Linked DNA regions of Schizosaccharomyces pombe. The protein of the gene in region 3 purifies or fractionates together with the protein of the main gene of each other region. This does not show direct contact. Each region holds a gene or a part of one and is shown on either strand. Other genes may lie near its edges.

The links.
Region 1: the proteins of grc3 (region 3) and rix1 purify together in Schizosaccharomyces pombe (affinity purification with mass spectrometry, with the first as the bait; one study listed by BioGRID). This does not show direct contact.
Region 2: the proteins of grc3 (region 3) and crb3 purify together in Schizosaccharomyces pombe (affinity purification with western blotting; one study listed by BioGRID). This does not show direct contact.

Annotation. Positions count from the first base shown.
Region 1 is NC_003421.2:436,456-440,212, reverse strand, and holds the start of rix1 (ribosome biogenesis protein Rix1), read left to right. Parts: upstream 1-1,693; 5' UTR 1,694-1,789; coding exon 1,790-3,757. Other genes in the region: rib2 (bifunctional CMP deaminase family methyltransferase/riboflavin-specific deaminase), read left to right, coding at 1-159; hdd1 (metal-dependent HD domain-containing phosphohydrolase), read left to right, coding at 553-1,149.
Region 2 is NC_003424.3:2,310,130-2,313,886, forward strand, and holds crb3 (rixosome complex WD repeat subunit Crb3), read right to left. Parts: upstream 1,800-3,757; 5' UTR 1,763-1,799; coding exon 1,565-1,762; exon of another isoform or gene 1,443-1,564; coding exon 432-1,442; exon of another isoform or gene 389-431; coding exon 257-388; 3' UTR 142-256; downstream 1-141. Other genes in the region: arb2 (argonaute binding protein 2), read left to right, coding at 1-86; SPOM_SPAC13G7.09C (uncharacterized protein), read right to left, coding at 2,489-2,896; teb1 (Myb family telomere binding protein), read left to right, coding at 3,617-3,757. UniProt on the Schizosaccharomyces pombe protein: Required for both pre-rRNA processing and heterochromatic gene silencing. Component of the RIX1 complex required for processing of ITS2 sequences from 35S pre-rRNA.
Region 3 is NC_003421.2:2,181,487-2,185,243, reverse strand, and holds the start of grc3 (polynucleotide kinase Grc3), read right to left. Parts: upstream 1,645-3,757; 5' UTR 1,438-1,644; coding exon 1,404-1,437; exon of another isoform or gene 1,327-1,403; coding exon 1-1,326. UniProt on the Schizosaccharomyces pombe protein: Polynucleotide 5'-kinase required for both rRNA processing and heterochromatic gene silencing.

The DNA.
Region 1 (3,757 bases), 1.7 Mb from region 3:
TTTTCTACGGTAGTTTTGGGATCTCTGGAGCCTGATATATTCGTAAAATGTGAAGGTGTGGATTTACTCAAGAAAGCTGGAATAGTTGTTATCGAGAAACTGACTTTTCAAGACGATTGCTTACGTGAAGCAGTTCGTGGTCACCCCCCAAAGCACTAATTTTATTAATTTTTTTTATTCTTTAAACATTTAGACGACGTCGCTGGTATATGACTATCAACCCTAAATTATCGTTTTTCTGAGAGACTATTTAGGCCATGCATAGTTCATCATTTTTTTTGATCATTAAATTAAAATAACACGAAATTCCCCACATAATGATTTCTTTTTTCTATGATTTCTAAATCGAAAATAATTTCCTTCTTTGCTTTCTTCACTTACCCTGAGCAAATACCACCTGCGTTGGCCTAAGTGGCTGATTTGTATAAATCTGCTGTTAAAAACTTTTTGGATTTCTTTTTATTTTTGTGTTTTTATAATATTTAATTTGGATTTATCCGTTTTATACTCTGTTTTGTTTTTTTCAGAAAAAAATTTAACTCCCCTTTCAAAATGAATGCAGCCAAATCTTTATCTATTGTTCCATTCTTAGATTGTTTGTCAAGGCTTAAGACTACTCCACGTACTGGCTGGCTATATCATGGCATCGAAAAGCCGGAATCCATTGCCGACCATATGTATAGAATGGGGATTTTGACTATGTTATGTAATGACCCAAGCATCAACAAGGAACGTTGTCTAAAGATTGCCGTAGTGCATGATATGGCTGAGTCAATTGTTGGTGATATAACACCTCACGAGAATGTTTCGAAAGAGGAAAAGCATCGTATGGAGTCGGAAGCGATGGTTTCTATCACCCAGCAACTGATCCCCTTAAACCTTTCCTTACAAGCTGAGGAGATTAAAGAGCTATTTTTAGAGTATGAGTCTGCTTCCACTCCCGAAGCTAAGTTTGTCAAGGACATTGATAAATTTGAAATGATTGCTCAAATGTTTGAGTACGAAAGGAAATTTAATGGTGAGAAAGATTTGTCACAGTTCACTTGGGCCGGTAAATTAATTCAACATCCTCTTGTTAAAGGTTGGCTCAATGATGTGTTACAGGAGCGTGAGCAATTTTGGGCTTCGGTCCGTCAAAAGAAGCTTTAACTGATAAGAAAAGCGATACTTTCCCTGTATTTAAGTGTGCAGTTGAGAGAAACAGTTAAGAAGAAATATTTCTTAGGAATTCGCTCTAGTATCTTCAAGGCCCATTATTCAATATACCAATAGTCTCTCTTTTTTTTTATACATAGATACATTTAATAGAAGTTCAACATTAGAGCTTAGTTTAATGGTGCTATCTTCTGATATGTTTTTACTCTTCAAATGCTTTACTTTTCTAGGTTCTATCATTTACGTTCTCCCAACTTAGCTAAATATAACTTAAATACATCTACGATTAAGTCTTGTTTCTTTATAATTATTCGTTCAATAAAAAATGAATTCTTTACAGCACATTTCAAGAAGTTCATAAAATCACTTTGCTATCTGAATTTTTTTGTAGACTTAAGCTTTGAGGTAATTTACATTCCTTGGTCATTATAAAATACTAATATTGAGTTAAACATTCTCAAGTTTAAAAGGATTTTACTTCTCAAAAATTTTTAACCTTTTCTCCCTAGCAAGACTTTCCTTAACGCACGAGTAGTTCAGAACCTACACCACAAGCTCGAGATTTAGCAAGTAATTTCTTTAAGAAAACGGAAATATTGTTTTTTTGTTACTCCGTTGAATAAAGAAATCTTAGATGAGTGATTTATTAGAACGTGGCTCTCTTCCTCTTGTGAAATCTTGGTTGGCAATAACTTTTGCGAATGAAGAAGACTTACCATTTCAGGTGCCTCAAATAGCGGACATACTGGTACATCAAAAATGTATCGAAAGATTAGGAACGAGTGAAAATGCTCTTTCCGTTCGCAAGAATTGGTGCACGAGTTTAACAAAAATGTTACAATCAAAAGACTTTCGTATTCGCTGGTCAGCTATTATTCTCATTCACTGCACTATTTCTCAAAGTTGGGATTGCTTAGTAGAGCATGGAGCTACTTGGGCAAAACTTTTAATTGCTTTGTTAAACCGACCAGAAACTCCTAAAACATTGGAGATTGCCATGATAACCGTATCAAAAATGTTTAGCTCTACTGTAGGAAGACCAGCAGTTACAAGAGAATTGGTGACTCCTAATTTACCCACATTTGTGAATAATTGCTTACGAATCGCCGAATCTGGGAAGTGTCTTTGTACTGTTTGTTCTTGTTTGTATCAAGGGATCATCTCGCATTCACCTACCTTTCGTCCATTTGTTTCCTCAATAAGGAATATTTGCATTAAAATTTTAGATGGGGAAGAAGTAGTCCCTTCTTCATTACAGAAGAAAGCAGCTGTTCTTTATGCTTCGTTGTATCGATGTGTGGGGAAAGGAAATTTTGAAGACTATTGGAAGCAAAGTATTATTTCAATCCTAAAGGAATATCATCTTACTTTGGATTTTTTGTTTCAATTTGTTATAGAACCGCAAACATACCCAACTCGTGAAGAGAATTTGATGTTTCCAAAACTCAAAGGCCACTACGAAGAAACTTATCAGAAAGCTTTACACAGATGCAGAACTCTAAACTTGATTTTAATTTCTTTTTTAAGTACAAAGACGGATAAAATCGTTTTGCTTCCCATAAATGCTTTGAAGGATTTAATTCAACGTGTTTATACTGTACAACTTTCATTGCCTGTTAAAAGCGTAGAAAGTTCAGTTCAAGCTTTGCTATTCATGGTCCTTCCTCATTTGCATACGCTAGTTAATGAGTTAACCTTAAAGCTTTTTGTGGTAATTCCTCCAGCTATCATTCTTTCATTTGATTCTTACCTGGATTCATTAAATGATTGTTTACTTTCTGAGTCAACACATACTGGGGTTTTATGCTCTTCTTTAAAGTTACTTTCAAAGTTTTTGGATGTGACACATATGAATGTCCCTCTTTCAAAATACGAAAATATTGTAACGCTGGTATTAGAATATCTTGCTAATTCCTCTAAAGGTTTAGCATCCAAATCCATAGAGTTCTCTAAAAATCGTGGGCATTCTCAAAAAAAGCGAAAAACACTTTCTGAAAGTCAAGCAGGAGATACACTTATGAGTTCGGAAGAGTCTCATCAGCTTTATGATTCAGATGTCATGGATTGTTGTTTTTCTTTTTTAGCATCCATTTTGACTCATTCAATAGCATTACCACGTTTATTACGGACCAAAATAGATCTTTGCACCTTGCAGATATCTTTGTCTAACCCTACCTCAACAGTTTTGATATCTATGCATAATTTACTCCTTGCGTCAATTTTATCACCGGGAGATTCACAAGCAGTGATAGTACCTCATGCAATACGTATAATTTCTGGTCCATTAGGGCTTGTACATCCAGATCCTCTGGTCGCTTCACACGCAAGGTCATCGATGCAAACAATAGAATCGCTGATTCATCCTAGGTTCCCACCTTTGCAAAAACATCTTTCACCAAGCGAATTTGAAAATACGTTTGAGTCAAGATTTGAGCCTGTTTCTCTTGAAAACCAATCGCATATTTCTCCACCCCAGGTGGATTCTCAATCAGAGTATAAAGAAAGTAGTATTTTGGCTCCATCAAATCCTCCCTTTGAAACAGAGTCGATTACAGATTCCACTGAAATTGAAGGGATCAAAGAGTCTTTTGCATCTACAGAT
Region 2 (3,757 bases), on a different chromosome or scaffold from region 3:
GAAAATATATCGATGAATTCTATGACTACATTGGCGATGTTTTGCTTGAGATGATTGCTCTCGACACTAATACAAGTAAAAGCTGAAGACAGAGAACAAAATAGTTAACGATAAAAAATTAATTCAACATATTTAATAAAATTTTCCAATGAGATTATAACAAAAGGGCTACAACAATTAGAACCCCGTTGCTACAAAAGTGTAATTATTCCAATCCCTTATAATTTTATTCAAATTTTTAACCTAACAAAAAAAGTTACTTTTGCAGGTATTTTTCCCATAACGCTTGATGAATTTGCTTTAATTCATAAAATAATCTTTTTGCTTCCTTGAGCTGCATTTCACTGGTTTCAGCTTTGGCACGCCAACTGGACTCTGAGCCTTGTGTCTAAAAATTATGTTAGTTCAAAATCTTTAAGAAGTGGACATACGACAATATCAGAGCTGATTTTGAGAATATTTTCCGGTTGCATCAGCTGCTCTACCCCATCATCTTGAATGCAAATTCGAACATCTGAATTTAAGTACTCATTTGTAATCATGCGCTTTAAAACTGGAAAAGAAAGTGAAGAGTTTGAATAAAATGATATCTTGTCGACCTTGCATTGAAGAAAAGAGACCGGCGAATAATACTGAACGAGGCGGCGCAAAACTTGTCGAGAAACACTATCCCAAACCAAAACATTACCATCCTTATCACCACTAATGAGTAGAGAAGCATCAAAGGAAACAGTCAACGTGGTTATTGGGGATTGACACGATATAATACTTGATTCTCTACTGTCGTTATAATCTACAACTCGACCCATACCTCCGATGGCGTTTGGAATAGTAGTATTATCAACAGACGTAACTCTTTTTTTCTCTTTAACGTTGTTAGAAAAAGTGGATGATCCTGTGTATAATGGAATCCATATTATTCCCTTTTCGTTACCAACGTAGACAACACGTTCGGAAGGATCCACGGTCATGCAACTGGGAGTTGAGGGAAGAGCAATCGTTGTCAAAAGGTTTCCTGTAGAAACATCCCAAATCCTTATTGTGTTGTCTTCCGAAGCCGTGTAAAGTCGACCACTAACGATGGGACCAGGGCCAATTTCCATAGACACGATAGAACGCTTATGACCAGAGAAATGAGAAATCGCTTTAACTGAACTATTACTTGTTTCAAAAGTAGAGTTTTGGTCTACCAAAGTGCTTATCAACCAAGCGAATACATCACCATCGTTGGAAGCAGTGAATAAAACCATACCATCATTGGAAAATTTCAAAATGGTCAAAGGTTGGTAGTGTGCTCTGAAGAAATAAATAAGAGCACCGGATTTTAATGACCATATGTACAAATTTCCTTTTTCTGTGCCTGCTGCCAGCCAAGAACCACAAGGACTCGATTGCACACAAATAAGTATTTCAGGTAAAATGATTGATTGATCCAAAATTTCCTACACTTGTATTAGTTTTACTCATTTAAAATGTGTTTAGCTACTTTAGCTTGAAATTAGCTGTAAAACTGCTGTTATAAACGAAGTAAGCGTACAACTAATGCAGTGCAGAGAGAACCTACCTTTCCAAAATTGTGAATATTCAGCTGTGGACGGGTATGTTGAGCAGATAGCAAATGATTCAAAGTAGTACATGTCGCGTTTTTAGCAGGTGAGCTTTGACGGAATGTGCTCACCAGGGTACCGGTATGTAGATTGTGGCATAGAACATTACTTGGTTCACCCTCAATAGCTTCACAGCCAGAAAGAAGCAGCTCCATAAACCTTGAAATGCGTGTTGAATAAACGCAAATCGCTGAACTGAAATGTTAGCAACAAAGCGAAATTTGCAAGAAAAGTCGTGTTGGACTACATTGCTAAATTAACCGAATTCAACCGCATTTCGTTAAAATGACTGTTTACTCTATTTTCTAGAGCAAGCATAATTGTAGACAAATTATCTAAGTCAGCTATTTACGTTTCCAAATTGATATAATGGGCTGTTTGGAAACTATATTAGTTTTATTTGTACCCAATCAAACGTATATTGATTTCGACTATACTGTTGGAAAATTTCTGACTTTAGTGGTGTAAATATGTTTAATGTTTACATTTTCGCTACACGATTTCATGCAATGCTTTTCAATTAACCAAGAAAAGGTTACTTTATTGCTAACAGAAGAATTGATTTAATTCTTAAACATTTGTAACAATATTTTAATGCATGTATAAATATAGATTAAGCCAAATTTCGGTGTCAATATGAGGATCATCCGTTTAAAGTTTGTTAAAAATAACTAAACGGTTCAATCAAAAGGCATAGGAATTGAAGGATTTGAACGTGATATTTTTAAATGATATTCGTTTTTGGATAAAAATGTATAATGTATAATGATAAGCTCAAGTGGTGATATATAAAATCCCCAAATGAAACCACACAAAGAGATTAATCAGAAATGAAGAAATATAGTTATTATTTTCTGGGAGACATTATTAAAAATTTAAGATTAAACTTTCTCAATTTTTAATTGCCCTTTCTGGCTAACACGCTTTTCACGAGACCCCGGTTCATCTAAATCCGGCGTTTCTTTATAAAGTCTTTTTTTCTTACTAGTGGGCCGAGGAACATCGATTCTCCTAGACAACCTTTCTGAGGAGACATTTAAATCGTTATCTTGTTTAATGCTTATGAGTTGCTTACGCTTTTGGTCACGTCTCCGATTATTTATTCCACGATTATGGGATTGAACATTTCTCACCATATTATTCAAAAAAACTTTATTAGGGCGAAGTTTTGTTTTTTCCTTTTCAATATAGCCATGGTCGACAAACGACTTGTTCTTTTTTTTAGATTCGTGAATTAACAGTTTAGCAACAAACTCATCAAAGTTGAGTCTGTCAAGTGATGATTCCATGATGAGTATTATTAATGTAAATCATTTATTATCATTTCATTTAGGTAATTTGGCAATAATTAAGTGGATAAAGTGTGGATGCAGGAATTAAGAAGTGGTGGTGTTCCTGCCTAGTGTATAAACTATGAGAAATCAGCACGATCCCACATCACGGTAAAATGTTGAAATAAGGCATATGCTAAGTACACATGATTTATTCGAATTATTCAGTAAGCATCAAATGAATCTTAGTTACAAACAGATAGCTAATATTTTTCAAACTTACGGCATTAAGAATTAGCGTTAGGCCAAACTGATATACTAACTACATTTAGTTACTACTTTGCTTATATGTACAAGCTGGTCAGTTATTTAAACATCTTACCATTCTGGAATTTGAAAATTAAATGTTAAGCTAGTTCAATTCAGAGTATGTCTATTCAGTATAACCTGTATTTTTTTAAGATTTTTATGTTTATAAAAAATAAAGATGTATCAACTGTCTTTTAGCTAACCTATTGTTGGTTTGTTTACTCACCTCAACATTATGGTGGCCAATGTGGGGGCCACGAACTTCTTGTTATTGATTTCCTGACTTGGCATTTGCATATATATATAGGCGTTGAAACATCTAATTGTACATTAGAGTCACCACTAGGGAATTGTTGAAGGTTTCTTGTACATAACCAAAAACCCCATAAAAAATTATATCGTAACTTCTCTTTTGTAATCAAGTTGACCATGAGGTCTATGAAACCTCCAGGGTTTTCATCAGATCTTATGGATGAGCATTCTGTCGACTTGTTGAATGGGTCCATTTTGGCAGCTGAAAATCCCTCTAAAAGGGAGGTAGCTCAAGATGTTCCAGGATTCGAGAGAAAG
Region 3 (3,757 bases):
CTGGACAATTTATTATCAAAGGAATAATCTCCTTTTGGGATATCTCTTGATTAAAAATATAATCTTTATATTCAGCAAAAAGACGAGTAACACAAGCAATGTAATGATCCGGATCTTTCTGGGGACTTATATCTCCGAGATGCAAACGTAACATGTAAGTAGGAAAGAGCATTCGGGCGAAAACAGGTCCTTGCAATGGTGAGTTAATATAATATAATGAAATGTGCCCAGAAGGTACGACTTCGGGTTGACCAGGGTCGAGGTCAAGATATGCAATGTGACGATACTGCTGTAAAAGCCTATTGGTGATGTATCGTGAAAAACTGCTTTTACCGGATCCTTTAGGTCCACAAACCATAAGACGAGGAACAACATAGTCTGACTTGGAAGTGGAAAACAGTAACTGGTTAGAAAAAGAACACCAAGACTCCGGAGTTATCTCAAAATTATTTGATATTGATGAGGCATCTTGCAAAAGATTCTTAAAAGAAAACAAACGCTTTGCAAATGGAAGGACACGAGCTATCTTAGAGAGACCATTTTCATTTTCTCTAAAAGCTATTACAGTTTCAAAATTTGGGAGAATATCTTTGGGCTCTAATTCATATTCATGCTCTTTTGGTGAGTAAGAGGGAACTGCAAAGGAACGAAGGTTAAGGGAATCTTCTTCATATTCGGAAATCTGCATAGCAGGTAATGCATTGTCTATAGCAGAAAATACTGGTGTCGCAAATGCTAACGGAGCATTTAAAGGAAACCAAGACATACAAGCTGAAGAATAGGTTGCACCAAAGAGCTGAAACTTCCCTCTAACGCTACGAAAAATGAAGGTACCAACCATTGCTAATTTTTGATCTTTATGTAATCCAACGTATAGCGTATCTTTAACCCTGAATGAATTTTCTTCCGTAATTTTAATCACCGGAATGGCATCGTTAGACGATTGTGGGCTATGTGGAACGTTTTCACTTACGGTTTCGTCGTCCAAGTTTAAAGGTAAACTCGGAGAAATCGTTTGAGGACTAGCAACTGAGAATTCAGAGTATTCCTGAGGATTAACCTTGGACCTATTTATATCAGGAGTTATTTCAGAATCATTCTTGGATGACTCTGAATGGAGCTTTGTTCTATGATCAACTCCTGGGACAACCACTTGTACGAGCGTGTGCTTGTAAGAAGGAAATTCGCCTTCAGTTTTCATTTCGTCTTCATATTTGTCTTGGCTTTCTTCTTCCGAAACGCTGCGCTTTTTCCCCGATGAATTGTCTTTCTTTCTGGCTGCTTTACTTAAAGTCAATTGACGCACAGCGAATGCACTGAGTGGAACTGTCATAGAACTGTTAGAATATTATCCTAGAAAAGATATAAGAGAGCCAATACTTAAGACTAACTAAGACACTTACCATTTGAGCTCTCAATACGTTGACGCTTGACCATTATGGTAGAAGCTTATTAAATAAATAACTAAGTTTTCCTTTTTTTTTTTAAAAGTGCAATTCACACGAATGTGAACAAGCAAGCGCTTTGGATCTTAATTCAATTAACAACAATCCACCATAAACTAACAATCAATAACAAAAGTTAATTTAGAAAATTTAGCTATGTTTTGTAAACAGATAATAAAATTTTTTCTTCTTATTGCACAGCGAGAAAGAGTAAATAGAGGAAATACCAAGTAAAGTACGATATCTGTAATTTGGGAAATAGTGATTAACGGTATATTTTTATAACAAAATGTAACAGCACGGTATTCCTTTTTTGGTAGTAACATAACGATAATACCAGCTTGCTTTAACTAGTAGCTTCTTATTAATATTGAAACAATGAAGAATTAATCGTTATACCTTGAAAAAAAGGAAAGAATATAATACTCGTTAAAAATCAGTTATTGAAGTTAATAGATATTTAGACTATAACTGTAGTGATAATTATAATTGGGACGAACACCCGAGTTTTTTTTATTCTATCAGTTGACCCAACAGTTAGGTTATGAACTGTTGCTTTCGATGTGGATAAAAGTATTAGAATATAAATCATTAGTCTCTTTGATTTATATATTGAAAATTTCCACAAAATATGTGTCAATCAAAGTCATATCGCCCACTCAGCTTATGCATCATTAGGAAACTCAACATAAAACCAGTATATACGTTTACTGCGTTATTAGATATTCACTATTGCAATGTGTCTTTAGGTTATTACTATAACAAACCATCGTTCTGAATCACAATATTTTATTATGCTATTCATTATTTTGTAAACATTAATTTTGTTTGAATTGAACCATTAAACAAAAAGAAAAAATGATAATTAAGCTTGATTCATTAAGAATCAAGATGAAGGAGAAATGAACGTAATAACGACAATGAAATTGTGAATTTAACAAGGCGGAACAACGAGTTTTTCGATTTCATTAGTTGATTTTAAGTTGTCGTAAACAATTTAAATCATTATTGTTTGTGACTTGAGTTCCATTAAAAAAGACAAATAATTAGACTCGCATACATAATAAATAAAGACTCGGTCCTCAATGCACTTTATCCAACATCGTAGAATACATTGGTTGGCAATTTTTGGTAATTGAAAGAATAAGTTAAGCATATATTCCATAACCTTATAGTGAAAGAGGATGATTAAAGAAAATTGGTGCTTATTTTTAAAAAAGCCGCAGCTTCTCTGCGTTGGTAATTTTGGTAAAGAGGTTTTCCAACTGGAGCGACAACTACATTAATAACGCAATTAGACTTCGCTTTCAACTTCCATTTCCCCCAAGGGAATGTCATTATTATCGTTGGCACCTCTAATCGCTCTCCCTGCACCTTCTAATCGGGTAAGTAAAGAATCATTCATACAGTTGGTTGAATACACATACCTAATATAAAAGCTATACCATTCCTGATAAATTTGGGCATCCTTTTGAGAGCACCTGGACATTCTGATACGATTAGAATAAATTACAGGAATATTAAACAAACCCATTTCGTAAAAGAAAAGAAAATTGCCTATAACAAAGAGTGAAGAGGCTACAATTTCGTAGCCTGTCCCGTCGATATGTTTGTCAAATAAATGCATCAAACCTTTCGTTACAATAACGACACAACTTTGTACACCTAGAACTTGAAAAAACCCAGAAAACATATGCTTAAGTGTCCAGAATGGAAGACGAACTGCGTGTTAGCGGTCAGTAATGGTAACTACATAACTTCACATACCATATAATAAAAATAAAAGTAAAGCAGCTGAAATACTGCATGTAGAACAGATGAGAGTCTTGTCTAAGTTCACATTACCGAATTTGACGCAACCAAAGAGTACAAAACAAATGACTACCCATAATAACCAGATTATTACAACCCATTTTTCCCTTGAGTTGTACAAGCCGACCGCAGTTACCTTGACACATTGTGCCACTGCCTGGTCCAAGTTTCAAAGAAGCCTAATGAGTTAGTGAATGAACGTAAGAATTGACCTATCGTGTCACTTACACCATAAAGAAATAAAAATCATCAGGCAAATAGCACACCACACTCCAAAATATACCCATTCATCTTTGCCATAATCTTTAAAGAGAGCGTCCTTATACGTTAGATAACAAATTGCGGGTACGTTTAGCACAAAGATTGAAATGAATGATAAAAATTCTTTTTTCAACGGAGAGGTAGAAGAATTATCTGCCGTCCCGGAAGAATGGTTTTCTCTATGTGTGTTAGGAGGATTGCTTACACGTGCGTGATCTGTTTAACTTAATATGATTGAA